Linked DNA regions of Struthio camelus. The protein of the gene in region 3 interacts with the protein of the main gene of each other region in a pairwise test. Links are inferred from orthologs where the notes say so. Each region holds a gene or a part of one and is shown on either strand. Other genes may lie near its edges.

The links.
Region 1: the proteins of CBY2 (region 3) and TXLNA interact in binary tests that used the Homo sapiens proteins (3 or more experiments, as listed by UniProt). The two-hybrid records come from large-scale screens. The link is inferred for Struthio camelus from reciprocal best matches to the Homo sapiens genes CBY2 and TXLNA.
Region 2: the proteins of CBY2 (region 3) and PLEKHN1 interact in binary tests that used the Homo sapiens proteins (3 or more experiments, as listed by UniProt). The two-hybrid records come from large-scale screens. The link is inferred for Struthio camelus from reciprocal best matches to the Homo sapiens genes CBY2 and PLEKHN1.
Region 4: the proteins of CBY2 (region 3) and MMAB interact in binary tests that used the Homo sapiens proteins (3 or more experiments, as listed by UniProt). The two-hybrid records come from large-scale screens. The link is inferred for Struthio camelus from reciprocal best matches to the Homo sapiens genes CBY2 and MMAB.

Annotation. Positions count from the first base shown.
Region 1 is NC_090964.1:8,542,643-8,550,147, reverse strand, and holds the start of TXLNA (alpha-taxilin), read right to left. Parts: upstream 3,002-7,505; 5' UTR 2,771-3,001; intron 1,501-2,770; exon of another isoform or gene 1,453-1,500; intron 924-1,452; 5' UTR 890-923; coding exon 772-889; intron 1-771. Other genes in the region: KPNA6 (importin subunit alpha-7), read right to left, coding at 4,787-4,971, 5,611-5,789, 6,359-6,486, 7,073-7,198. UniProt on the Homo sapiens protein: May be involved in intracellular vesicle traffic and potentially in calcium-dependent exocytosis in neuroendocrine cells.
Region 2 is NC_090962.1:4,767,505-4,774,996, forward strand, and holds the start of PLEKHN1 (pleckstrin homology domain-containing family N member 1), read right to left. Parts: upstream 3,015-7,492; 5' UTR 2,794-3,014; coding exon 2,714-2,793; intron 1,079-2,713; coding exon 979-1,078; intron 1-978. UniProt on the Homo sapiens protein: Controls the stability of the leptin mRNA harboring an AU-rich element (ARE) in its 3' UTR, in cooperation with the RNA stabilizer ELAVL1.
Region 3 is NC_090942.1:191,153,012-191,159,682, reverse strand, and holds CBY2 (protein chibby homolog 2), read right to left. Parts: upstream 1,775-6,671; 5' UTR 1,524-1,774; coding exon 507-1,523; downstream 1-506.
Region 4 is NC_090958.1:19,210,220-19,217,425, forward strand, and holds the start of MMAB (corrinoid adenosyltransferase MMAB), read right to left. Parts: upstream 3,001-7,206; 5' UTR 2,881-3,000; coding exon 2,774-2,880; intron 2,692-2,773; coding exon 2,630-2,691; intron 2,512-2,629; coding exon 2,418-2,511; intron 1,976-2,417; coding exon 1,918-1,975; intron 1,021-1,917; coding exon 948-1,020; intron 563-947; coding exon 465-562; intron 154-464; coding exon 89-153; intron 1-88. Other genes in the region: MVK (mevalonate kinase), read left to right, coding at 3,403-3,480, 3,565-3,709, 4,523-4,670, 5,900-6,055. UniProt on the Homo sapiens protein: Converts cob(I)alamin to adenosylcobalamin (adenosylcob(III)alamin), a coenzyme for methylmalonyl-CoA mutase, therefore participates in the final step of the vitamin B12 conversion.

The DNA.
Region 1 (7,505 bases), on a different chromosome or scaffold from region 3:
AAACCCAAGTTAGCCTCTCTCGTCACATATAGAACAGCTGTACTGGGTCAGATCAAAGGTATCTTGTCCCTAAGAGCATCCAACAGCAGATGCTTAGGGAAGGAGTAGGCAGCCCATCCCTTAGTACGCGTCTTAGCTTCCAAAATTCCCCCAAATGAGACTCCTTGATAACAGACAGCAGTTGGTTATTAAACTAACGCTATGCACTGGGCATTCACTACATCCCACGTTTACTAGGCATCAGAATATACATAAGGCCGGGTGAATTTTAACTAAGCACCTACTTTACTAGACATGTTTTTTATTCCTTCTAGAGAATTATTTTTATGACTTGAAAAGCGCCGATAACAGGGCAGGTCACTCAACATAACACTGCCCCAGGGAAAGATTGTCTGACTTTTCTCCTGTATGGGATCCTTCAGGTCTAAGCAACAGCAAATAACCCATCATGTTCAGGTCAGGATCAAAGGCAGATGCAACTCCACACTTTGGTAACCTGTTCCCCAAGGCAGCAGTAACTACTTCAGAACTGCACATATGCAGAAGCGATAAGAAACAAGGATTTTCTGCTCCTGACATCACAACTGCTCTTATACAAGTAAAAAGAGTTGGATACAACAGCCCACCCTCCTATGGAGAAAGCAAGAGATCAACTCTTTTCAGGCTTGAAACCCACCCTCCCGCTTCCCTGCGTGCCGCTGCTCGGGCTGTCAGCACTGCCCCCAGCCACCGACAGGGAGCTGCGTGTCCCGGGACCGGGGGTCTCCCCACCTTCAAGGGGTGCTGCGGCCTCAGGTAAGTCGCCTTCCTCCAGCACGAGGCTGCTGCTCATTTTGGAAGAACTAGCAGGCCGCAGGGCAGCTTTGGTCTCCCCACCTTGGTTCTTCATCACGACTTTTCTCCCCACTCAGTCTCAACAAACCCTAGCAAAAGAGAAACAGCAACTACGTTTAATTTTAAGAAGTAACAGATTAGGGGGTTATAGCAGGATTCATCACCTTGCTGGGGAGTCAACGAGAACCGATGAACTCAGAACGGAGAAGCAACTCGTCCCTGGGGAGGCTGCTTCCCCACTGCCAGCTGCCACTATCCCACCTGCGGCTCAGCGCAGAGGAAAGCAGCATTTTGCGATTTGCGCCTGAACGCAAAGGCCTCTATATCAGAATAATTCTTCTTCCAGTTGAGAAATGCTAGAAGCAGCCCCTTCTAGGGCAAGGCAGCAAATCCCGAATCACGTGCAGCATGTAGGGCACATCTTTCTCAGCACTGTTACTTCCCCTTGCCCCACCATATTTTCCTCTTGGAACATTTCTCCTCCCTGCTAAGAAACATGTTTCACAGCTGAGAGTGATCTGTGCACACTGGCAATAAATCCCCTGTCTACGCGGAAGACCCAGAGACCAAAGCCTCCGCAGGAGAAAAGTCAGCACCAACTAAAACAAAAACGCATACCTGGCTGGAGGAAAGTGTGCAGCTCCCAGGCAGAGCTGGAGCTCAGCGCTGAAAAGATTAACTAGCATCACCGTGAGCCACAACGAACAGCCCGAGCTCAGCTCCCCGCTCGTCTCCCTCCTCTCTCCCCCAGCAGGGTATGTTCTCCCTGACTCTTTCCCCCGCGTTCTCTGCTCCAATCACGATACTAATTACAAAGCAGAGGCAGCCAGTGCTCCTAGTCTAGAGCCAAGGGAGCGTTCTGCAAGAGGTGGGAAAAAGCCTTTGCTGCAGTTTTGCAGTCATCGCCCAGGGAGACCCGAGCTTTCTCCGAGAGAGCAGCCCAGGACACGGCTGCCGAAGCAAAACACGGGCGAAAACGAGGAGCAGGCGCAGCAGCCAAGCACGCGCATCACGCGCCCCCAGGCCGGCGAGGCTGCGCCCCCTCCCACGGCAGGCCCGCGGCACCCAGCGCCCCGCTCTCGCCGAGCCCCCGGGCGCTCCTTTTCCTCCGCTGCTGCTGGAAACAGCGCAGCCCCCGCGCGCTGCCCCAGGCGCCGGCGGACGACGGCCGGCTCCGCAGCACCCCGGGCGAGGGGCAGCTCCTCGCACCCCGCCCCGCCCGGCCGCGCCGCCCCGGCACCCCCTGCCCTCGCCGCCGGCACCCCTGCGCTGCCCCACAGCTAACGCTGCCCCTCCTGCCCGCTCCGTACCGACCCCCGAGGTGTGCCGCACACCTGCCCCCCCGCTGTACCCCTTGCCTGCCCCCCGGTCACCCCCATCCCTGCCCCCCAGCCACCCCCCGTGCCTGCCCCCCTCAGCCGTGCCCCATACATGCCCCCTTGCTGTACCCCCGCCTGTTCCCCACAGCCGTGCCCCACTCCTGCCCCCCGCTGTACCCCTGCCTGCTTCCTACAGCCGTGCCCCACTCCTGTCCCCCAGCCAATACTCCCTGCCTGCTCCCCCACAGCCACCCCCACACATGCCCCCCGCTGTACCCCTCACCTGCCCCCCAGCCACCCCCGTGCCTGCCCCCCTCAGCCATGCCCCACACATGCCCCCCGCTGTACCCCCCGCCTGCTCCCCCAAGCTGTGCCCCACTCCTGCTCCCTCGCTATACCCCCCACCTGCTCCCCACAGCCGTGCCCCACTCCTGCCCCCCAGCCTCTTCCCCCCACCCCGGTCACCACCCCCGTTAACACCCCCGGCCCGGCCCTACTCCCCCGTTAACAGCCCGCCCCATGGCACCCCCAGGGCCTTGCCCCCCCTCCCCACCCCGACATGACGTTCCAGGCGGACACACACACCCCCAACCACCGCAATGACGTCATCCACGTACCCCGTGACGTCACCGCCAGGGGTCTGACGCGTCACCCCCCTCCCTCCTCAGCCAATCAGGGAGCAGGAGCCGGCGGCACCCCGGCACATCAGAGGGAAGCGAAGACGGAGCGGCCTCCTCCCCGGCGCCGCCCCGCCGGTCCCGCAGCCGGCGGCGGCTCTCTGCCCGCCTCCCTCCGGCCTCCGCGCTCAGGCCACGGCTCCGGCCCGGGCCTCCCAGCGTGCGCGCATCGCGCATGCGCCCCCCGCGCCGCCGGCCAATCAGCGGCTGCGGCGCCGCGAGGCCCGCCGGGAAATACCGGTGAGAGGCGGCAGTGGCGGCGGGTCCGCCGGTGGCACTACCGCTCCCGGCGTGCCGCGCGCGGGGCCGGAGGGGGGGGCGCGAACTACCACTCCCGGCGTGCCGCGCGCGGGGCCGGGGGGGGGCGCGAGCTACCGCTCCCGGCGTGCCGCGCGCGGGGCCGGAGGGGGGGGGCGCGAACTACCGCTCCCGGCGTGCCGCGCGCGGGGCGGCCGTTACCGGCGCTGAGGGCCCGCCCGGGATTTGGGGGGGGGGGGGGGGGGGCCGCCGAGCCCCACCGCCGTCCGAGGCGCCGCTGTCGCTTACTCGTTCACCAGCGCGGGGCTCGGCCCCCGGGCCGCCCCCGCAGCGGTTTCGCTCTCCGCAGCCTGGCCCGCCCCCTTTTAGTTTGTTTTTTAATGAGATCTTGGCTAAGTAAACTCAAGGCAGGTAGAGGAGTTTAAGACAGATCTATGTTTGCTTATACAGTACATGAGTAAACAGAGGAAAAGAAGCAGGACAACCAGTGAGTGAGCTCACAGACCGTCATTTCCAGGTATGCCTGCCTCACAGTATTCTATTTACATAAATTACAGAAATTTCATATATATTTTTCTCTGAAGCCCAATTAGACAAATATCTACCTATATATAATATAAAAAATACAGGGATTTGATTCTTCCTTTTGAAGTAAAATGTACATGATCCAACTGTGAGCAGGAGGTAAACCTGAAAACTCAGGCCTGTTGCTACTGAAGTTAACACCGCACACAACACTGCTGTCAAGTGTAGCTATGCCCTCTTCCTCCCCAGCCCATATTATGATCCACCCCAACCCAGCCAAAAAACCCCAAAATTCAAAACATGGTTTCATGAGAGGAGGAAAAAAAAAAACTTCAAGTAAGAATGAAGATGGGTTTCATCATTTCAACAGTTTGTGACTTCAGTCAGTAGCAATGCAAACAAAGCCTGTGCAATGGCAGCTGTGCTTCCTCTTTCAAAAACCACCCAAGCATCCCACCCTCTTCATAGTTACCATCTTTGGGGTTTTGTTGCTTTTTTCCTTGTAAATACCACTAGCAGTTCTCCAGGAAAAAAAAAAAAAAAAAAGAAGAATCCTTCCCCCAGAAAGCTTTCCCAGGATTGGGAGACTTCCCTGCTTCTCTGTCCATTTACAGTATATTTCAGGGGAACTTGGCCCAGGTCCAACAGGACTGTCCACTGAAGGAGGGTCGCAGAAAGGCCAGGGCTAAACTTTGCTCTTGGCAAATTAGAGTCTTTAATAAGAGTAACATGTGCAAAAAAATTAAATAGATCAACCCAGGTTTCCAGAATTATTGTCATCAGAATGCTCACTTTCTATGTGTTCTTACCCAACCCAATGCTGAAATCTCAATTTTAAGTACCCAAGGTAAAAAGTGACATTTGGGAGATCACCACAAAGAGGAAGAAAAAAAAAAACCCACAAGAGGTGCAATCTGTTATCTCAGTGTCCTTCCTCCACCCAGATGCCTGCTTTAAAGACACATATGCAGCAGCAAAAAGAAAAAGTGTAAGAACTTCCCCTTCTCTCCATGAGGACAAAGCACTGCTTCTAGTTGTTTCTGAAGGAGGAGTTGCTTCCTAACAGGTGGAGTGGGTGTTTAGCCTTCCATTTGCAAGGAGGGGGGTGGGACCATCAGCTGCTCCCAGTTGCTTCCTGGCAAGTTTGTAGTATTCTTTTCCCCTCTGGGCACATTATAGCTGGAAACCTTCCATTGGGGCTTCAGGTTGCTGGAATATGAATTGCTGCTGGTTCTCATCTACCTGGGGAGCTAGAGCAGAATCATCCTCTACTCCAAAGTAGTGCTCAATCAGGTCAAAGGCCTTCTGGTAGATCTCTTGGTTCTCATGGCTCTGCAGGAACTCTATCTTATCCAAGCCTTAGAGAAGAGAAAAGCAGCGTGTGACAAAACATGGAGAACCCCAGTGTTTACACTGTCCCACATCCATCCTCCACCCTCACCCCTGTTCAGGGCAAGACCCCTGCCTGTGTTAGATGTGCATTTTGTCTGCAGCACTCTGACATCTAAAGCTAACTCTTCCCATTACTCCAGAGTTGCTTGGAAATTTAATCCCTATCAGACAGCACTGACATCTTTACAACAGTAGGCTTAGCTGCTCACAGCTCCCTTGCTGAAGGCAAAACTGAAATCAGTGGGACTAATACAACTGGCCATGAATAGTTTGACAGTCCTGGGGCTGGAAGGGGGAAGAAGCAGGCCCTGACCCCAGGGGCCTCCCTCCAGCAGGAGGGCAGTGACTGCTTTAGCCATCTGACTTAAATCCACTGCTGAACAGGAAGCATCCAAGCAACATACGTTCTTATGAATTTCAAGAACTGCTCTTATTGGGAGAATCAGGCCACGTGATAACATCTCATTTGGAACATACTAAAATCCCTTATCTGGTACACACTTAAGTGCTAAGCAGAAGTGAAATCCATGACATCAGCAGACACCTGTCAACATACCCTACGGTTTTCAAAGGCAATAGCAGCAAGGCCACCAGCCACAACCTACCATAGGCTTCCTCAATCAGGCTGCAGTAAGGATTGATGCCTGTCCCACTCTGGTTGGCCTCCTGCTCTCCGAGCCTCAGTATGTTCTCCAGGCCGTTCAGCGCCACCTGAACAATCTTTGAGTCCATGACAGTCAGCAGGTCACAAAGAGGCTTGATACAACCCAAGTTTACCAGGTATCTACAGAGAGAGCACCCAGAACATACACTCAGCTTGCAGGATAGCAAACATCGCCTTCATTCACTTAAAAAAAGCTCAAAGGAATGAGTCAAACTAAAATAACTTTTTATATATATATATATAAGCTATATATAATGTTAAATAACTATAACGTTATTTAACATTATTAGTATATTTTACTGTTTTGCAAGCTTAATATTTATCTCCACTTATTTCTATGCATATACAACCCTGCCTTTAAAAAAAGGGCCAGCTCCCTTTGAAGTGAACTCAGGTGACACTGAGTTTAAGCCCACACGGGAATTTAAATGAGGTTTGGACATTTAGCCTAGTTTAAGCTATTTTAAAGACGTGAGAGGGAAGCAGTTTGGATTAGTCTGACACTTGCTTATCCCATTTCAGAAGGAAACTGCAATGCACAGCAGAGCACACTGTCTAGCTACAGCCTTGCCCATGTCTCAGGTATTCTCCCAGAGGTTCTCCCTTACTGCTTTGTCTTGCAGATCCCAAAGACATAAAGCTGCCATACATTCAGACCGATTTCCCCTAAGTGGGGCCATAAGGAGTACCTGATCTGTTCTGGAGTTCCTCCTGACGTTGCGTTTGTAATAGCCCATGCTGCCTCTTTCCTTGTACGGAATTCTGCTTTCTGCAAGATTTCTATCAGCACTGGGAAAATGTTTGCATCTATGACTGCCTGGGGAGAGAGAACAGTATGAAGTGTTTGAATTGGCAACATGGTTTCCAAAAGCAGCTGAAAGAAATCTCTCTCTACTTTCCAGTAAGCTTTCCGGCCTAAACCTTTTTCAGCAATTCCTCCATTTTATTCCTCTACCAAATCCTATATTCAATTCCATAACTAGCACAGTAAATAGTCCCTCATTATTGCATCAGTCCTGTAGAAAGTCTCATTTTATCTGCCTTGTTATGTAGGCCATTAAAAGGACAATTACATCTTAACAAGCTACAGCTTTTCAAAGGGGTATCTCTAATTGAGCATGGAGAAATGGGGGCTTTATGTCCTGTTCTTATTCCAATGATCCAAAAGGGGGACATTCAGTCATTTCAGTCTCATCCCTTTGTAGTACAATTAGCAGATTTTTAGCTAATTTATTTGGCCTACAGCTGGGAGCAGCCTGCCCACAAAATTTAAAGAGTTTTAAAGAGTTTAAACAAGCTTAAAGCCTCTAAGGGTCAGATAAGAAAAAGATTTGCAGACTCTGAACACTGAACTTGGACTCCAAGATCACTACAAATGAAACCTAAAAGCCTCAAAGCTGTACCTGTATTTGTGCTCTGTTTCCTGCTGTGATGTTAGAAATAGTCCAGCAGGCTTCTTTCCTAATCGACTCCTTGGGACTGCTTAATAAGTGAAGGAGACAAGGCAGTGCTGAACAGTTCAGGATCACCTTATGATAAGGAAAGCAGAAGTGAGGTCACCAGTATCAGGAAGAGAGCCAAGTTTTCCACCTTCTTTCAATTTTCACACAGTGAATATGCTGTATGGGTGCTGCATTTCCCTCCTTGCCCTTTTCAGAAAGGGGGAAGGAAAGGTACTTCTCCTATTATATCACTGTGGGAAAAAGGTACAAGAGAGGTACTTTGCCCCATCTCCCATGTCTTGAAATCAGACTTTCTGAAGCTCCATTTTAAAACCACACCCCCCACCCCCACACATCCAAAATAACAGAAAGCAAGAGAAAAACAAACACTATT
Region 2 (7,492 bases), on a different chromosome or scaffold from region 3:
CCCATGAGGAAAAACAAAAGGCCTACCCAGAGGCAGCTGAACCAAAAGGGACTGCAGAGGTCCTGTTTGAGGGGGACAGATCAGCTCCGAGACAGCTGAATCTTTGCAGCAACCCAAGGTACCTGAGCAGGACTGCCCAGAACTGGGCCCTCCAATACACCAAGCCCTTGACAGGCATCTCATGGTCATTGAAATACACCTGGCCAGCAGCTGAAGCCCAAGAGATAACGTCCTACAACTGACCTCCGAAATTACCTCTGTCTAGCTGTGTCTCTCTCTGCCTCAGTTTCCCCCACCCCCATGCCCACATAGACTATTTGCTGTGCAGTGGGGGAGGTATGTAGATAGTACAGTGCAACAGGCCCCAAGCTCAGTGCATGTCCCCGGCCCACCCAAAGGCACCAAAGCAAAACATCAGGGCTCATTGTTTCACCTCCGCTTCCCCTGAGCAGTGCTGGGAAACGGGCCATACGGCTACCAGGCTGGTACGTGCCTAGGACAGACCTGCCCTTCCTGATTACCTTCCTAAGGCTCATTGCTAATATGCTGCCTGCTCCGTCTCACTCCGGCGTGGGAATGAATCATCCCACCTTTGCGTGCTCGCGCTAATTTTCCCTTCCTTTGCACACTACCCAGAAACAAAAGCACCAATAGCAGCAAGGGGGTTGTGAGATAGTCCCACCACGCTGCCTGCCTTGCCCCTAGTGCTGCACCCCCAGCGGCACACATTTTTGTTGCTGACAGTTCCCCTTGACTCCTGCACGGGTACCCTGGAGCAGATGACTCCTGCCGTGAAGGATACGGCATAACAAGCCATCCTTCCTTGGCTGCAGATATGACCTCCATCTCCTTGAGACAGGCCTGCTGCTATCCCCTGACCCAGAGCCCTTGTCCCTCTCGCGTACAAAGCTGTCCCTGGGGTGGGTGACAATAATCTCTGGGAATGGTGGGGAGGGGGCTGGATGCGTTTGTACTTGCCTTTCCTGGAATATACTGCAGTATTTTGTCTGCGGTCGTATCTCTCTCCCGCCCTCCTTCAATACCAAACAAGCTGGGTACTTTTTTCTTGCCATCTTTTCTACAAAGGGGAGAAAAAAAACAAAGAAACGCATGCAAACACAGATCTAGCCTGGTGCATAGTAAATTCTGCCCAGAAACAAGAAAGCTGGAGTAAGCAGTTGGTCATGGGCTTTCTAATCATCCAGGACAGCAAAGGGCTGATAAAAGCCTGGGACAATTGTAATGGGTTTTGTGCTGCACTTGTTTTAGCTTTGCTTTTTTACGTGTCTTTGCATGACCAAGTGATAAGCTAGGCTCGTCTGGGTCTCCAGCTCAGTGAAGGAAATGGACGTCCCATTGCAAAATACAAAAAAAGCCAAGTAAAATCCTGATGGCTATTCCAAAGCCACTGGAGCAGAGATGGATTTGTACATCCACACCCACACAGAAACAGGGTTTATTTCTCTTTGTGATTTTCCTGTCTCTTTCCTTCCGCTCCCAGCAGAGCCCCCAGCTTCTCCTGGTGTGCAACCCATCAATGAGCAGTTACAAATGCCATTAAGAAAACTGGGACTGCCTGGCTGGCGCTCCCCAGCGGATTTTCTCTCTTTCAACCAGATTGCAGCACTTAGTCCCGCAGAAACCAGGCTCATCTCCACGGAGAGCCGTCAGCGCGGGAGGCACAGAGGCAGCAGGGACGAGGGGTGCTCCGGGGCTTGGCCGTTACACTGCGGGCTACCTGACATTGGCCCTTCGGGGTTCAAATTCCCTCTCTCCTACCGCCTCGCAACTGCACAGACTCCTGCAGGTTTGCTCCTGAATTACCGCAGCACAGAAGCAGGGGGACAGTTTCGGTGTCTCTTTTTGGTTACAAATTCCCAAGACTAGCAGAGTTCACGGGGATTATCCTGATTTCTAACAGGGCTCCTTTTCAGCCCAAAGCTCTCAGAATTGGGAGGGCTCTGCTCAGTACGTGCTTAGGATAGCAACAAGATTACTGTGACTGCACTGATGGGAGCGTGAGCCGGGGGAAAGGCAGCGCTTAGGGAAGCTTGCTCTGCCCTCCCTGGTAGGCTCTATTTTGGGACAGCTGCCCATCACTGTGGTACCTGAATGCTCTCCTGGCCAGCCCAGCACCAAAGTCCCTAGAAGGTTTCACTGCTGGTTTCTTTCATGTCTTCCTTGGGAGTTACAAACACAGACCAAACTGTACAGGCAGAGGATCATATTGGGATTTGGGGCTCTCGCTCTAAAGTAAAAGGAATGTGAGTGTTGCTCCCTGTTCACGGTCCCTGGTAGCTTGCTTTTGTGATCAATCAGTGCCACAACTCCGGGAGACATGAATTAAAAAAATCACAAGTGAAAACAAGGAACTTCAGGCATCTTGCACCTTGCCCCGTCGGTCCCATAGAGAGGGGTTTTCATTTTCCAAATGAAATGGCACAAATCACATTTTCCCTTGGGGCGGTGCCGCTGGGATATTCTGCCGGCATAGCCCTAGAATTTCTTCCCTGCCACTTGCGATGAGTTGATCTTGTTCAGCACTGCCTAGTACCAGCAAAACCATGCCCAAGCCCTGCAAATAACTCTTGGGTTTCCCAAGCGGGGCTCAGCTGCTAGCCCAGTTCTGTACGGTGTCTCGCAAAGGAGAAAGTCAGCAGGGAAGCCAGCACGTGCTTGAAAAGCAGTCCACAATAAAAGCAAGGGTACTTACTCTTTCTTCAGCGAAGGTTTCCTGCTGAAAGAGTGTCTGAACCTCCCAGGTGCCTGAGGAACACAAGTTATGTTCCCCATGCTGGTAGCAACTGGAACAGTCCCCGAGCAGCTGGGAGCTGGAGTGCTGGGCAGAAACTGAGACCGAGAGCGTGTGGAGCCAGGGAAGTTTGTGTGTGTGTGTCATGCAGACATTCCCACTTCCGCCTCCAGTGACTCTTGTGGGTGTGAGCTGTGAGCAAACAGACTTTCGGCCAAGGTTTCTTGCCTGCTCCTTCTCGTCTCCCCCTCCCTGCCCGCCTGGGACTGATAGCACCGGCGCTGGCAGGAGTCCTGCGGCGCGGGGAGGGGCAAGCCAGGCCAGCCGGAGTCTGCCGGCAGGCACCTGCAGGGGAGGAGGGCGAAAAGGCAGACTCCGTCCTGCTGCCTTTGGAAGGGAATTATCGCCGCTTTCAAAAGGAGGGACTCCACCAAGCTGCCAGCTGACCACACAGAGGGATCCCCTGGCAGCCAGGGCAGCGACTGAAGTGACACACAGGTGTCACACGCCTGCTCCGATTTGCCTGCATCTCCCCGAGAACCTTTCTTTGCCCACTCACTTTCTTCCTATTAGAAGTGTTTTGAGGTTTTGCATTTCTCGATTAACAAAACAATGCCATCCTTGTGGCAGAATTGTATAGTAGACCGCATTTTGGCTTGTAAAGAAGAATTAATCACAGAATCAAAAATCCATTGTTGCTTAGATGCAGCAAGTGACCATTACATAATAACGCTTGTTATCAGAGAACAGGATAAACCTGGAGCCCATAATAAATGTATTTGGAGCAATTTTCCAAAAGGAAATCAATTACCATTCAGGTCAGCTGGCAAAAAAAAAAATCAAAAGGTAATTCCAATAATTATTGTGTAAGTGTTCTCTGAGGTGTTCACAAGGCTGCAACTTAGAACATTTATTCTAGTTAAAAAGAATTAGCTTGTATTAGAGGTGAAATGTAAAAAAACATCTAAAAATAAAACAAACAAACAGAGGAAAACAAATAGTAAATATATATATATATAAAAATAAAACTAGGAATTATGGAAAACTGATAAAGAGAGCAAAGCACAAAAGAGGTGCATGACCACCAAAGCTAAAGGGATATTTTCAAAGAAGCATTTTAAAAGGCAAAGCAAAAATTCCCAACCCTGGTATCAGTCCCTTATTATGCGGAAATAGTAATAACAACAGTGAGTAGTCAAGGATAATACAGAAGGCAGATACAATCAATAAATATTTCTGTTCTATGCATTGAAAAAGCTAGGCAGTATAGTCATAGCAAATGATGAAACCCTTTTCATTCCATAGTACTGCAGGTAGGTGTTAAAAAACAGTCACTAAACTTGGAGGCTCTAGATGAGAAGGTCCAGACAATTTGTATCCAAGAGTTTTGCAAGGCCTGAACAACAAAGGTCTTGAATCACTGCTCTTCATTTGTAGCAAGTCTTTCATGACCAGGGAATTGGCAGAGAACTGCAAGAAGTTAACAGGATACCAGTATTTCGAAGGGTAAAGAAGACCATCCTAGTAATTATGGGTTTGTCAGTCAGATGACACTGATCCATAGGAAAATGAAAGGACAGCTGTTAGGGAGTCCGATTAACTAAGAGTTTAAGGAGGAGAATATAATTAATACAAATAACTGGGGGTTACGGAAATTAATTCTTGTCAAACTAATTTAATTTCTATCTCATTTGAAAAAAATCATATCTGGTTAATGAAAATAATGGTGTTGAATTAAGAAATGACTATAAAGCACTTGATACACTTGACTATAAAGCACTGATACATCCACACAGCCTGCTAGTAAGAGCCTAAAACAATACAAAAACGGTAAGATAGACAAATATGTTACAGAGTGACTGGCCAGGGAGACTCAAAAGCAACTGTAAACAGCTCTCTGAGAAGGGTGTTTCTGACGGGTGTTTTGTCTCCACATTATTTTGACTGACAGCCCAGCAGCTCCATCTTGCTACCATAGCAGAGAGGCGACAGAGATGCAGTCGGGCTGGAAGTGCCTACACGGGGAACAGACAAACAGCTGGCAAAGAGATAACAAGAGCCAATGCTGAGAAACTGAAGATGGACAGAAACTGAAGATGCCCAGAAACAAGGCACGTATTTTTAGGTTATTTCTTACTGGAACAACTCCCTGAGGACTGCGACGGCTTCTTCAACAGGGGACTTTCAAAACCAGGAGAGGATGTTTTGCTAGGAGATTTGTTTGAACCAAACAAGGATTTGTTGTGGGAAGTCTTATGGACATATTGGACTTTTCACGATGGTCCTTTTTGGCCTCAGACTCTATTTGTATTTACCCTGTCCTGGAGCTGAAGCAACAGCAAAAGCAGTAACAAAAAAAGCGGTAGTATAATAAATAGCAGTGTAACAACAAAGATAGCAGTAACAAAATCAACATACCCCAAAAAGCTAATCGTAGGATTAGGCTACGCTTACCCAGAGAGGGCGGCTGATAACAAACATGCCATAAAATTTGACAAAGGCCTCCACATACTTGACTTTTGAAAACAAGTCCCCTTTGTATATAATTCATTAACCCATCGCAGCTGAGCAAAGCTCAGGACAGACCACTCCAGAGAAGCCCTATCCAAAACACCATAATTTTTATAGTTGGATAATGCCCCAAACCATAGTGTGTCTGTGCAAGACTGCAAAGCAACACTCCAACAGCGAAGACATGTCCCAGTGCCTCCTGGGAGAAAGCAAAAATGACAGCCAACAGCAACAACTGTTGCTTTTTCAGGAAAAGGATCGTTCCCCTTAAGAGCCATGGCTAACGAGGCCTTGCAGCGTGACCAGGAACGTGCTGTTTCTCCAACATATCTGTCCCAAGTAGAAACCTACCGCTCAAAATAGGGATATAACTACCTCTCTCCAGCTATTTTTTTTGGTCCTGCAAACATGCATTGTCTTGTTCACTGGGACAGCAACGACCACCACCAACAGGCTGGCAGGGCCAGGCACGACCTGCAGACGAGGACAGCTCCCACTCTTTGGCACGCTGGGCACGCAGGCTTGCAGGGCAAACTGCTCTCCCACACCCTCTTTGCCCTGCTTCCAGGGGCAGGAGTGCCTGAACTGGGGGGGAAGAGGTCAGGCTTTTACAGTGTGCTAGTTATTTATAGAAACCCGAGATAGAAGCAAGAGCCTGGAGAGCAGCGAGAAAGAGGACACGGCAGGGTAACCACTGGGTCTGGCATGACTACTATACAGCATCGGGGCTTTACTGCAAGGTACTAGCACCTGTGCAAGGGAAAGTTCCCTTTCAGTCCCAAAGCGTGCTTGCACCCCTCGTCATGCAGTTTCTCATTGTCCTTTTTTGCTCTCTGCACCCCCCACTACCATGAAATGAGCTTAGTATTTTCCCCACAGGCAGCAGTGATTGGCAGCAGCTGGTGATGGTAGATCTGACTGTGGCAGAGCCTTCCCTCCTGCTGCATGGGACCAGCTTGCTGCTCCTGCCTCCAGGCAAGATGCATGTGACAGCTGGAGGTAGAGGAGGACGTTTCTTATCTGGATTTCATTTCCAATGCAGGAAAAGCTTGTCAACAGTACTGGAGATTGGGAAACCCAGGGAGTCAAAACTGTTTAACTAGAATTTAAAGGCGGGGAGAGGTATCAGTCTGCCTCTAAAGCCCCTACGATTCAAACTGGTCTTGTCCCAGTGGCCTCCTAACCATCAGCATCGTCTTGCTCTTTCCTTCTCCAGGGTTGCAGCACAGCAAGGGATTGCTGAGGCCAGCCCACAACACCCTCTCTGGGAGTATAAAACACCTTGTCCACAGGACAGCAACCTCCTTGGCCAGGCAGCCAGCACCAAGCTGCTGAGTGTGGCACCAGGACCTAGAGGAACCAGGGCTGAAGTGGGAGCTGCTCTTTTTAGCTCACTTGAGGCTCCCCAAAAGAGTAGTTTCTTTAAAGTTGGCCTTTGTCTCCTCCGGCCTCCTGTGCTAACATCCACAACTGCAGGGTCAGTGCAATAGGGCCCAATCCCAGAGGGACATGGGTCCCTGCTCCGTGCAGATGCCCTGAAGCCCAGAGCAGCTGCACCCAAGGAGATGAGACCTATTCAGTGGCTGCTCAGGCACAGACACACAGCAGCCCACCATGCATACCCTCTGCCTGGAGGCTCCTTCTCCACCTAGAGCAATAAAAAGAACAGCTACCTGCTTTCTTGGAGCAGAGCCAGGGAAGAGAAAGGAAGGACACAGAGGGCAGGATCTGGGATTCAGGAAAACGTCTTTATTGTACACATTGGCTTGTATTGCTTGTATCCCCTCCCCAATCCCACATAGTGCAAAAAATTCAGAGAGACAGAGTTCCACATAAATAAGTCAGATAACCTACAGAGAAATCAAAACGACGACAGTTCGACGTGGAGTAGACCAAGTCTGCCTACCAGCAGGGCCAAGAGAACCTCTCCCCCAGAACAGGGCAAGAGCTCCTGCTTAGCCTTGCCATCTCGCTGCAGACTGACACCCAGATCCCTGGGTGAAACATGGCAACACATACAGCCTCGAGCCATCACCTGCTTAGGGATGCTCCTCAGCTGGAAACAGCTCACATAGAAAATTGCACGAGTGATATTTTTGGGCAAGACGCCACTAACTAAAACCGGCAGAGAAACCACAGACAGTTGACAGTTCTCCTCCCCTCCTCAGGTAGGGTACTACACACACACACAGACGCACACAGACGCACACCCCTCTCCAAGGCCACTGC
Region 3 (6,671 bases):
CCTGTCTCCTCCGTGAGGCCACATTTCCCATGATTCATTGCTTAGCCTACGTGAGAAAGGTAAGGCTGGTGCATCGCAGAAGACATAGTTCAGCCACTGAGCTTGGCATCAAAAGAAAGGGACCAACAGGGCTCCAAACTCAGCTCCCAGTTGGAATCCTGGTTTTCAGAAAGTGCCTATCCCTCTGGTAAATATGGCCGTTCCAAGGTACCTCAGATTAAGTGAGAAAAGCATGAGCTATCTGTTGAAAATGTAGCCTTATTATTAGAAACTTTTAAAATATGCCGAAAAGCATGTTTTTCTGGGACTAGGCAAATTCATGACAGTTGCCCACTCCCATGTTATCAGAAGGGGAAACGCATCCAAGTGATACAAGAAAGTTTCAGAATAACACAATGTTCACCAGCTGGTTTTTTTCTTCAGATTCCACTGGGATTTTATTGAGTTCCTTGAAACAAGGAGAGGTGCTTTACAGGAAATTGAACCAGCAGGTTTAGCTGCAAGTTTCACATGTCTCCAAGCTGATATTCACTTGCCAGTATTTGTCCTGCTTCTTCGAACACTGGGGAAGTGATGGCACTGAGCTCTTTTTGCAGCATTTCCATTTGAGCTGTAATATCTGACACAGTGTTTTTCACGGCATTCAACTGCAGTCTCAATTTATTGTTCTCTTCTTGGAAGACTTTGTTCTCCTCCTGGAGAATCTGAATGTCCTTTTTCTCTCCAGAGGGAGCATAGTCCTCTTTCAGGGAGTTTTTCTCTCCAGAGGGAATATAGTCCTCTTTCAGGAAGACCTGGAGGGCTTGGTATAAGTTCTGGATGGCCTGGCCAATTGGATACTCACCCTGCATGGCTGGGGCACTCTTCTCATTCTGGGTTGGATTGGAGCTCCCCACTTCGTGTTCCTGCTGGGGGGCTAGATCAGGGTTACCTTCTTCTGGATCTGTGATAGTTTGAGTGTCTTTCTGAAGAACTGAGCTTGTGTCTTTGCTCTCTTCATGGACTGCAATGGCTTTTTTGTTTTTCCAAATGATGGGGAAAGCTTTATTCTGCTGCCGGAAGATCTCTAAAGCTCTGTTCTTTCCCCGGACAATCTGAAGAGCTTTGTTATCTTGGCTGATCTGAAAGCCTATGTTGCTGTCTGGGAAGATTGGGAATGACCTCTTTTCCTTCTGGAGGCCCTGATGAATAGTGTCATCATAAATGACCTTGACAGTCTTATTCTGCGCCTGGAGGCACCGAAGAGCCTTGTTTTCTTCCTGCAGCATGCTGTTTTCAATACGGAGAACTTTGTTTTCCTCCAGGAGTGCTCTATTCTCCTCCCAGATGCTCCATTCACTCTGTGTCTTCTTGCTGAAGTGCTTCTCGTGGGAAGCAAAGGGTGGCTGATGGTAAATTTCGTTCACCCATTTGCCATCAATAAAGATAAATGTCTCATCACTCAGTTTCACTCGTGGGGTGGTACAATCTATGTCAGTCCTTGTGCATTGCATGTTGTGGTTCATCAGATCACAAGCAGACATGGGTTTTCTTTAGTAAACTGAGTAAGTCTGTGTGAAAACACTTTCTCCAGGACTTCCACGAGAGGCCACTCTCCGTTGGTAAATGACACAGGGGTTTTGGAGAAGCTTTATCAGGACTGATAGAAAAGGGAACATAAATGCACGGAATTATTACCAAAATTCAAGGTCCAAATTAAATTACATTAGATAACAGAAACTAGCAAAGAAGTAAGTTCCCACAATCAACTGTGTTGCCTCCTTGACACTGGAAGGTAGGGAATACACCAGAAACATAGTTCATAAAATCTGAGAATACTGGCACTAGTAGATTTACCAGTGCTATGGCAACACCACGAGCTTTTATGCAAAAACCTTGACTCTCCTTTTATCCCTCTACCTCATTTTTACAGACATGTAAAGAGTTAAGATGTAAGAACACCTCAGAATTGTCCTTTCCTTGCTGACCAACAGGTAAACGAATACCAGAATCACAGGATGGCTGAGGGTGGAAGGGACCTCTGGATATCATCCAGTCTAACCCCCCTGCTCAAGCAGGGTCACCCAGAGCAAGCTGCCCAGGACTGTGTCCAGACAGCTTTTGAATATCTCCGAGGATAGAGAATAAATTAATTAATTAAAATAAATTATGGGGCTGGAGACAAGTTTTCAAAGATGCCTAGTAAGACATTTTTAAAGGATGAAAAAATGTCATTACTTTTGAAACTGGCCCTAAGAGCAGCTTTTTCCAGTGGATGCTCAGTAACCTTTGCTAACAAGAGGCCACAAAAATATGATGGCAGCCGTGTTTTTTAATCTTAAAATTGACAGCACCATCAATAGGAAGAACACAGAATGATATAGTGTGCACAGATAATTAAAAATCTAAACCACAGCACTGCGCCATCGGGACTGGAAGAGCTCTATTGCTCTTCACGTATTCTTCTGACAAGTTCCTATCAGCACGTTCCAAACACTGTCGCACTCCATACATAATTCTCCATCTTTCCTTCTCATTTCTCCACAGTTTCTCTTATCTTTGTATTCTTTGATAGCTCCATTACGTCTCTCACATTCTAGGTTTGCAATAGCAATGTGTCATCGCTTTTTTTACAGTTGTTCTGCCTCTTTCTCACATCACCAGAAAACTTATCACTTCAAAATCCATCCTGCTAAGTTGTACCTCCAATTCTTCTCATTTCAATTGCAGAAAACTCAGACTCATCTGTTCAATATCCTTTCTCTGTTTGTTCTGCCCAAAATGCTCCTGGCCAAATCACCTTCTAGTCATAACTAAACTTGGAGAAATGAAGGAATTCAGTGTGTTTTCATGAACACAAAATGCCAGATAAGTTTTATGCCAAAGAAAGTCTTATTTTCTGCAGTTCTCATCAAAATAAAATGTGTTCCCGTAAAAATAAAATACATGAAATTTTCAAGATGAGATGAGGTTAAACTGTTTTTTATAATAAACTTGTTTGAATGTCTTGTGTGTATGTATTTTTTTTTAAAGCTAAATCTCTGCAATGTGCCTTCTTCTAATTAGAAAAAAGAGGTTGGCTGTCAAATTTCACCTAGATCTACCCTCTTCCTCCTTGAATTCCTCCAGCTGCCTTACTGTCCCTTATGAAATCCAATTCTACCTGTTCAGCTGGTGAGGAGAATTTTACCTTCACAAACTTCATCTCCATACCTTTCCATAAAGTGTTAGGCGTGCTGTTGACACTGGGAAATGTAACTCACCAACTCCTCATCTCTTCCAGCTCTTTCATGACATTGTCTCCCAGCACCTCTGTCCTGCCATGGTCTTTCCTGTCCACAAAGTCTTCTCCACTGCTCTTTCCCACCCCTCTGCACTGTCTACCATGCTGCTTCCTGTTGTATTGTTTCTCCTAGCTCCATTTGGCTCCTGAAAGCCAGCATCACATAACTACTTCCTTCTCCTCCTCCTTCCCAAGTTTATCCAAAAATTCAGAAAATTGTTGGTGGTACTTTAAATCCCCAAACCCTTAAAGCGAGAGTGAGTTTTGGAGGGAGTTGCAATATAGGTTTGTTGCAATAATATGTGGTAGAGTTTGTTGTGGTAGGGTCTCAGTCTAGCTCTCAAGGTTGTCTTCTGCATCACTGTATGTTTTATCTCACATCAAACTAGCGTTTTCATTATATTGCTCTGCTAAAAAGGATTTCCCACAGTATGCAACAACCTTGCAATTTCAAAGTTCATTTTTTCCACTTGTGTTGTGCTTTCAACTGTGTATTTTTCCCTCTTACACTCCTCCACAGCCATTCCAACTTGCCCGATGTCCGCTTTCATGCTCTGGGAGCTCTGCACCCCTCTGCGGGAAGAAGGGTGGCGAACATGTCTCCCAAAACACTCCCTGACATGGCTCCTGCGATTTTGCAGGCCTAGGTTTTCATCAGATGTTTGCACCATCAACCCCAGGGCTGAAAGGAAAGTCAGCCAAGGAGAGAATGACCCCAGACGCCCCTAAATATCCAAATAAGAAACAGAAAATATAGGTATTGTGAGCCAAGACACACCTGCCAGTGAGTGGCTTGGGTAGGTGGCTAGAGCTGTTAAAATCACTTATATTTAAAGTGTTTATATGGCATGTTTTCAGGACAAACAGAAACATTTAATATATTCGGTATTGAAGGACATTATCTTGGGGACAATTAAACTTGACAGCATCTCTGTCAGCTCTTTTGCACTGCAGTAAAGATATTGACCCACGCTTCACAGAGGCATTTCAAGTTCTCTCAGGCTCTGTTATCATTTTCAAGTATTTCTGAACTAAATAATCCCGTAAAAAGGCTGGGGAACTGAGATGGGCAGGAAGGACAATTTTTTTGAGGGAAGCTGCACAAAATCAGGCTGAGCTAGGTAATTCAGCCGTAGTAAATGAAGCATTGACACATACTCACCTGCTTACAAAAGTCGGTCGTGTTCCCTTTCCCTGCGCTCTTGCCAAACAGCCCTGTTTCTAGCTGCTTTTTTGATTTGAGGCAAGAGGCTCAAGATTGCCCCAGCTTCTCCTCCTCCTAGCTGGTTCCCTGCCTGGTCCCGCCAGTGCCAGCTCACATGCATGGTATGTAACAAGGAACAAAGGCGCCGGACTGTGACACGACCAGCAGTCACCACGCACCGGGGTGGGGGTAAGGGCGGCAAGCATCCCCTGACGGAGAGTCGGATGCACGCAGATACCGCCTTCCCACAACTCACTTTTTGCTCTTTTGTCCTTGATTTTCCCCAGCAATGCACAGTTGGGTTATCTTTCACGGAAATGACCTTTCTGTATCTCAGCTCTCAAGCCCTTTCCTGAACCCAGACTTCCCTCTATCTTTGATGCTCATAACTGAGAGCAGTTTAAATAGATTGTTCTTCTATCACATTCTTTTAAAACATTTTTTGTTTTTATTCAGAATATTCAAATTATGTTTGCTGCTGAATTGGTACTGATGCTCAAAAATAACCTCCATGCGTGCACTGTGAGACCTGAAGTCACTTTGCAAAGAGAATTTGAGTCTGGAGTTTTTCTTTGACTATATGTTTAAAAGGAGAGTATCACTGAACCCTATTAAGAAGAAAACAGAATATGCAGGGCATCCATGCATTGTAAGTTTAGACGTTATTTGTAGCAGCTATTCTCACTTCTACATCTTTGCGTTTCTAATGATCTCATTTTCTTTGTTATTCACTACATCTTTAAGATGTAGAATAAATTTTTTTTCTAATCAAGATTCTTGAATAATAAATAGCGCTCTTAATTTCTTTTCCAATGAACATTACCCACCTGATATCAGCCCCAAGGTGAGTGTTATTGTTCTAGGAAGTTGCAGACGCAGTTCAGCTTTGGTGTTATGCAAAGATGATAAACTCAGGTATAAAATTCTTCTCTGTAATTTCTCCCTTGCTTTTTTTTAATCTCAGACAACACAGGAACATCACAGGTTACTATGGTAACTCCCCAGGGAACACTCTCTTCTTTTCAAGTTCAGGTATCCTGCAACGGAAAGCAGAAAAGTATCCTTAAAGGACAAAGGAAAATATTTTATCATAGGATGTTTGCGCCTAGTCTGCCATCAGATGGGAGCTCAAGGGTGCTACCTAGACGCAGCAGTTTTTAGGAAAGATGGCAATTTGAAATGGGTCATCTGTATTTTTGAAGGACTGAGACTGTGGGCCACTAAAACAGACCTTAGATGAATGTTTTAAGGTCTAAGAGCTGACTGGATAGTGAGTTAGTGGAGACAAGCACCGTGAAGTACTAATCAGAAGACAAAGCCCGTGTAATCCAGAACTACCAAGAACTCAGTTAGCAGTGTACCGTTGCCTTTTCTTAATTTTTCTACGCAGTATTTTCCGTAAAGCTGGATAAAGTTCTTTAGGCAAATCATTCATTTGCTAAAAACTGTGACTTCAAATACTAATGTATTTGGGCCAGATTTAGTGACCTGCATCAGACACATGTTCATGTATGTGAAGACATGCATTCAAATTGGAAATGCTGCAACAGTTCACTGCAGAATTTTTTATACCGGCTACGCAGATTTCTGAGCTGGACTCCCGAAAGAACTTAGATGTCATTCACAAAACTACAAAGGCAGAAATAATGCTGAGTATTTTCACCTCCCTGCCAAGATACAAATAACCCCTGCTCCAGGAGAAGGGTTTGAACCAACTTCCCAGCTGAGCGCTTTGTCCACAGCTTTAGACTTTTCAGTTTCTCCAGGTGAAGCTATTTCACTACACAATCAAATATTAATTGAGACCTAAGTCACGTCCCCCATCCTACTTACACAGCTTACACCAGACTATGGAGCCGTTCTTCCTTCTTTTCAGAGATTATCAGGTTCTGGGGGAGACCTTACAATCCCCACCTCACAATATTCTCCAGTTTCAGAAACAGCTCCCTGCTGAGCCGCAAGACGTCACAGTCCAGTGTGGGTCTCAAACGGGGAGAGAGGGAGGTCTGAACTGCTGTCCGCAAAGGCCTCGCAGGAAGGACGCTGCAGACCCTGTCTTGCCCTCCTGCCTTTCAGGAATGGGGACACCTACCCGTGGTAAAGCTCAGCCCTTTCTTTCCTTTGCTCTTGGGCTTAGAAGGACCTGTTAAAGTGCCTGCAATCGAAATAATCTGTTCTTTTAGTACAAGCAAAATGCTTCTTCGA
Region 4 (7,206 bases), on a different chromosome or scaffold from region 3:
ACTGCAACTTTAAATGGTTTGCAACTGTAGCAATCTGATCATCTTTCATCCATTTTGTTCAAGTTACATTAACAAGCCCAACACTCACCACCTTTCAGCTCTGCGGCAGACAGCCCGGGAAAAATGGAGAGCAGCACTGCTTTTACCTCCCGACTGAAACAACAATTAAACAGAGCATTAACGCCTGCTAACATTAGATAGCCACCCACCTCATTGTAGAGAGGCAGCAAAGCTTATCACATCTCATACACACATACAGCTGAACCTTAGGTTCTGGCTAGGCAGTTCTGAAGAGGTATCTAAATGGAATAGTACATGGAAATTTAGCTTTATCTGGTCCTTCTCTCTGCTTTCCTTTTGGCATTTGGTCCACACTAGTAACAGCCTTACAAACTTTTTTCCCCCGGTGGCAGGTGGTAGAGAAGATTTACCCTAAAGAAGCAAGTGGCATAAGAAGTACCTACTGGCAGTATGAAAGCTCTGAGTGGGGGAAGCTGTTCCGAGTATTTGTCAATCCACTGTTCCAGCTCCAGAACTGGCTTCTCGCTAAAAGATGTTCGTTCTACAGGGGGGAAAGAAAAATCAACTAAAAGAAATAGAGAAGTGATTCAACCTATAGAAGATGAAGCTCTACTTTGATATTACTTGGATCAGTAGGTCATAAGAAAGTGTCCCCCACATCCCTCCTGCTACAGTGGGGCTGGCTCCCCATTCAGCAGCTGTGGCTGGGGCGTGGGTTTTGGTGCAATGCCCCAGGCTGGCCCCGTCGCTTGAGTCACAAAAACACAGCAGCAGCAGCTTCTGGGACCGCGTGTTATTTCCTTGCTCGTGAGGCAGCCCTCGTGCATCTCTGACTACCACACACAGTGAGAGCCTCCCTAATGCCAGTCCAGAAGGCAACATTAATTCCAGAACTGTTATTCTAGGAAAGATACTTTGGGGCTTACTTAAGTGAGCCTCCCTGGCTGAGGAGAGAGGTGTCGCGATGTTGGAGCCCACATCCTGCAGCATACACTGGACCTAGATGTGGCAATCAGGAAAAGCAAGAAGTGCTTTCATTATCCAGCCTTTGATGCTCTGGAACTGCAGCAAGCTCTGGGAGGCGACAGCTGGTTGTGCTGATTAAAGAAGATCCTACCCTTGTTGTTCATCATCCCCCAGTCTGCTGGCAGGGGGGATCAGATAAGTGCTCCCTAATTGCTTTATGAGAAGCCAGATTAGCACATGTACTCATTTTCACTGGCACATTAAACTACCCTGGCTGTCTTTGCAGAAAGCAGACTGGGGGGAGTACTCATATGATCCCTTTGCTGGTAAAACACCACAACCAGGAACCTCTGAAAGAAAGGCTGCGACAAACAGCTGGAGATAGTGCTGACTTGATGTCACATCTGTTTCCGAGAGGAGCATCTCTCCATGGCCTAGGATATTTGAGAGGCAGTTTGGTAAAGCTTTCCAGAGCCTCTGATTAGCTGCTTCTGAGTTCTTTTGCACAACAAAGCTAATGAGCAAAAGCCACAGGCTGCCATGGTGGGAGCTGCCTCCCATCATCGTGCCCACGTAGTTGCTTCACCCTGCCTTCAAGTTTGAAGCTAACATGACAACAAGGCTTAACTTCTGCCCAGGAGCTTGTACAGTAACAGGTCTGAATAAATCTCTTGGAGATATGATTGTCTACCCATAACTAATCTACTTGGTCTACTGGCTCAGCTTAAGGAGATGCAGTTTATTACTTAGAGAGTAATTAAGGATCAGACTCTCAAGTATATATTAGATACCTCATTTTAATACTTTAATACTAAATTTATCAGAATCCTGTGTCAATGAGAGCATTGTGTCTGGAAGTAAAGAGTTTAAGAATATATTTCAATAGCACAAACGAAGTTACTACACCAGGTAAAGATTGTTAATACTCACTTTGTGAAGCTGTTCAACAAAAGTGTAGCCCTTTTCACTGCTAAATTCACTAGCAAGCCTAGATTAAAAAAAGTCAAGTTAGCCAGAGATAAAAAGATTACTACGATTGTGCGTACACATTTTTCTGTATGAAAAACATAGAAATTGGATGCTCCTAGTTACTTGTCAGTGCAGCCCTCCAGAGAAACGTAGTCATAGTCCTCAGTGTATCCCCTTCCCCCCTGCAGGAGGACGGGATGTGGGAGCAGTTCTTAATAGAAACAAGACAACCAAAAGACCCCCAGCGCAAGGGGGTCAGGCCCGTGCGGCTGCATCCCTCGAGCACGCGCGGAGCCCCAGGGCTGTGCGCTGCCGACGAGGTCTGGCTCACGGGGGGTGGGAGCACCCCGGCTCGGCGGGGATCTCGGTGGAGAGCGTCCGGTTCGCACGAGTCCTGCCGGGCCTGCGGCAGCCCCTCTCCCAGGCAGCGCCGGCGGACAGGGCTGGGGCACGAGGGTTACCCGATAGCCGAGCTCAGCTCGTCCGTCGTGCCCAGGGCTTCGAAGATCTGGTCGTCCTTCGGCCTCCTCTCTCCGGTGAAAGTGCTGGAAAAGCCTTTGAAAACAGCCAAGGGGGAAGAAGGTCGGAGCGCGGGCACCAACGGAGACGAGCCCCGGGGCTGCCCTGGGCCTCCCCGCCGGTACCGCCCTCCCGGCAACGGCTCCGGCCTCACCTGCGTCTCCCGTTCTCGTGTAGATCTTCGGGGCGCGGGCGCTGCGAGGGCCGCGGTCCGGGCTGCGGAGGCAGAGGCGGGCCGTGAGCGCGGGGAGCCGGCCCCGGCCCCGGCCCCGGCCCCGGCTCCTCCTCTAGCGCTCACCTAGCCGCCTCGCCGCCATAGCGGCGCCCCGCTGTCGCCGTCACCGTCGCCGCCAGGCTCCGCGGCCTGCGCAGGCTCCAGGCCGCCACCGCCGCCCGCCTCAGCATCCCTCTCGGCTCCCGTAGCCCCGGCCTCTGACCCTGCCCCACCGGGCCGCTAACCGCCTCCCCGACCCTCCTCGGCCGCCGTCCCGCCTCTCTCCCGCACTGTCACCCCAGCGCCGCACCACTCCACGCTGCCGCTTTCCGATTGGCCCTCCCTAAACCCCGCCCCCGGGAGTCTCCCGGTCATTGGCTCCAGAGCAAGGAGGACGAGAGCAGGCATGTCTCCTATTGGTCAACGAGCTGGTCAATCGGCGGGGGTGGTGCGGTTCGGCGGCTGAGGCGGTCAGCGGTGAGTGGGGACCGGCACCGGGGAACCGGGACCGCTGGGCCTGGGTCGGGCCCGCCCCGCCCCGTCCCCCCCCCCCGGGCGCCGCCCTGGTGCCCGCGGGCCGTGCCCGGTGCTCCCCCGGCTGCTCTCCGCGGCGGCGGGAGGCGGAGGGGGGTGGCGGTCCCGAGGGTCCCGGTCCCGGTGGTGGCGGCGGTCCCGCAGCGCGCTCAGGCGCGGCTCCCCGCTCGCAGGTGGAGATGCTGGAGCGCAGCCTGGTGCTGTCCGCCCCGGGGAAGGCCATCCTGCACGGGGAGCACGCCGTGGTCTACGGCAAGGTGAGGAGGCCCCGCGGCCGCACCCCCCCCCCCCCGGCCGCGGTCCCGGCGCGGCCGCGGCTGACGGTGGCTCCTCGCCCGCAGGTGGCCCTGGCCGTGGCCCTGGACCTGCGGACCTTCCTGCGGCTGCGGCCCGCCGGCGGCAGCGTCTCGCTCCGCCTGCCCAGCCTCGGCGCGGCGGCCAGTTGGGAGAGGAGCCGGCTGCAGGCCCTGCGGAGCGGCTTCTCAGGCAAGCGGCGGGGGGGGGGGGGGGGGGGGCTGCGCCGGCCTCGGCCGCCCCGACGGCGTCCCCGGCGGCCGCTTCTGCCGTTGCTGCTGCCCCGGCTGCCGGGACCCGGCTGCGTCGCTGCCCGTGTGCTCTGGGCCCAAAGGGGGTCTCGCTGAAGCCGCTCGGAGCGGAGGGCTCGTGGGGAGGATGGGGACGTGGGGCCCGTTTTTCTGCCTCTGCTCCCCCCCCCCGCCAGCCCTTGCTGGCGTTTCTGCAGCACCCCGTGCTGGAAGGGAGCGCCTGGCTGCCGCGTGTGCCGTCCCGCTCTGGAGGACCTGGCGTTAACGCCTGCGATCTTCACAGCCGCTGTTTGCTTAGCGCGAGGCAGAACAGAGCGTCAGCGCGTTGGTAATCCCTCAGCACAGACCAAAATTCGTCTTATGCTGATGTCTGCTCTTATCCGTTTGGATTCCTGGCTTCTGCGTGAAGCACATCAGAATATTCCTCACTCTTTATTAAAGGACTTGTGACTTGCCAGGCTCTGTGTAGCGGTGGGTGGGCATACTGAGGGGTGCAAGCAAGGGGAGAACTGCTAGAACACCGTGCCAGTGTGGGGATGCAGAAACACTAGGTTTTTCAGAAGGACTGGTGGAGACTTTGCTTCTATTTTATCACGAGTCCTTGGGTGGCAGCTTTATACATGAAACACGCTGACTGGCTCACAGTCTGTTGTGCCTACTATAACGGGAGATATTGTTCTTGTAAATACTGCTTTCAAGTTTAAAAACTCACTGGTTTCTAAGTGTTTAAATTCTGCCCTGCTTGCTTCCACAGCTGACTTTGATGAATCTAAATCCCCCAGCGTAGAACAGCTGAATACATTGAGAGAGTTTGCTGGAATCACTGCTGAATCCTCAGCTCCCGAGAGCCTTGCTACTCTTGCCTTTCTCTATATGTGCCTGGCTATTTCAGCTAAGTATGGGTAAGGTTATTTTCCTGTAGCAAAATAAACATGCTGTCTTGTGTATTGTGCATCATTAATTGCTTTTACGAGGTCACAGAAAGAAACCAAACATCTGAGGTGAAATGAGAAATTAAAGAGAGTCACACTTAGGTTCTGAGCACTCCAGGGGCAACTCTTTAGGGCTAAGCTGCACTTGGTGGTGGTGGTGGGGAGAATGCCAAGTGCCCCAAGCAGGTGGGGGAGGGATCATTTGTTCTATTTTAGACATCTACCTTTGAGATGCTTAAGTCCCACCCTTCCTGTACAGACGACAGAGACAGACATCCGCCCCATCCCTGGCAGGCAGTTCATCTCATCCTGAATTAGGTTAGAAAAATTACCGTGGAAACATACTTGAATTAAATGTCTGAGCTATGACTGCTCTCTCTGGTGGGCTGAATCTCTCTCAAAATATGGGAACTTGAGGTAACCACAGGTAAGGGCTCTCCCAGTTTCTAAACTTGACAAATGCAGCTGATGATAGTACTGTAAGTTATTGAAAACTCACTAAGAGTCAGGTGTGATACAGCACTGCCTGCTATTGCAAACGAGGTCAGAGCCTGAATTCAATATTCATAGCAGAGGAATCAAAGGTTAAAGAATTATTTGTAGCTTTACTGTGTTTTCCTTTGCCGTCTCTGAGCTTCTTGGTGATAGCACTGGTGCTGTGATCCACTTGCTCTGAAACTTACTGTTCATATCCCTCACCAGCCAGTGGAAAGCTCCTAGGTTTGATGTTAGGGACCGCAATGCAACCTGCGTGCGTTCAAGCAGAGACCAGGAGCACCTGGACACAAACACGTGTGTGTATTTCATTTTCCCATCAGCTCATCACTCTAGTAAGATGCAACTATGCAGTTATTGTCACGTTTACAACGTTTACAGCAATCTTTGAAGGGTCTCTTTATGGTGCTACTCAAGTTTTTGGTTACTAAGTGCCCCTGCTAGCAGCTTGACAAGCTGTGCTAATCACAGATCCAATTCAGCAAGGCTTTGTTCTAGCACAATGGCTTAGCAAGGCTACTCAGCTGTGCTAACTGAACGCTCGTGAGGCCCACGTCTGTCGGATGCTTATGGATGTGCTGAGGTTGCCAATTTTCAACTAGCCTGTCCTGTGATCAGTCCTAATTGGCATCTCTTGCCTTTGAAATGTTGTTTCAAGATGGAATTCAAGGTCATTGTATATAGCCTGTGTGTTTGTGTTTCAGAGATGTTCCAAGTGTGGACATAGTCGTGTGGTCTGAGCTGCCCGCAGGAGCTGGGTTAGGTTCAAGTGCTGCCTATTCTGTTTGCTTGGCGGCAGCCCTGCTGACTGCGTGCGGAGCCATTGCCTGCCCTCTGACTGAGGGGGAGTCCACAGCCAGGTAACACATCTGGGAAGCCTCCCCGCCTTGTGTGCACAGCACGGGGGTGGCTCTTGTTTCCAAGGTGCCCTGCTCACTGACACTGGCACACCGAACAGGCGGGTTAATACCCACTAAATATAATTCATGCACTTCAGTGCCTGAAGTAGTGTTTTACACAGTTATACAGGTGCACAGAGATGGGATCTAGGATTAAGATTATAATTAGCATGGTTCAGGCTGTTAGGGTGATTTGCAGGGAGGTTATACTTGTTTGCATGAGGCTGTGACAGTCACAGTGGCATACAGCTGTCCTTGCTGGCTGGTCTCCAGGATGGGCAGTTTGGATCAGCACATCCCACGATGTGATTGTTGTGCCCCTGTCTTTCTTTTCATCTGAGCCTGCACTGGCAACTGTCTTGCACTCTCTGGCATTCCCTGAGCTCAGGATCTGGTTGTGGCTCTGGTCACAGCAGTAGTACCCCGAGCCCAGCTCCTTTCCCTTCCTGACCTGTTGTCACCCTGTGTTCCCAGCAGCAGAGGTGTGTCCTGTCCCTGGACTCTGAGCTGTGAATGGTGTGTTTACAATTCACTTCTGGTAAAACAACTGGATGCAGAGACTGATTTAAAAAAAAAAAAAATTGACCTACCTTTTGTTTTGTCTAGTATAAGATACAGATGGTTTTTTTTGCAAAGAAAATAAAATATATGCTTTAACTTACAGGAACTTTTTTTTTTTTTTTTTACCTCTATTTTCTCTTTGTCTCTGAGCCTCTTCTAGGTTCTGCTTTCTGTCCTCCAAGGAATCAAGGATCCTTTCTGTTTTGTCTGCCTTTACACATTGATTTCTTTCTGCATGTGGCTCGTTTCCTTCTGATTTCCTGCCTGAGCTTTCCCTTTTCCAGTGGCCGGTGAGGGGGAGTCTCTTTCCTAACCTCCATCCACTTCTGCCCTGTGTTGCTTTCACTTGACGTTCAGGCTTGAAAATCTGATCTGCCCTGCTCTGTGTCCAGGGAAGCTATGTCAAAAGATGCATATCACAGTTGAGTGCAGAACCCTCTATTGTTTGCTCTGTGCCAGGTGCAGCCTTTTATGCTTGGCTTCTTCTGATTTTGTGTCGGCCTGAAAGTGAGACAGCCAGAAAGGGCAGCTGCGTTCTACTTCAAACCCGG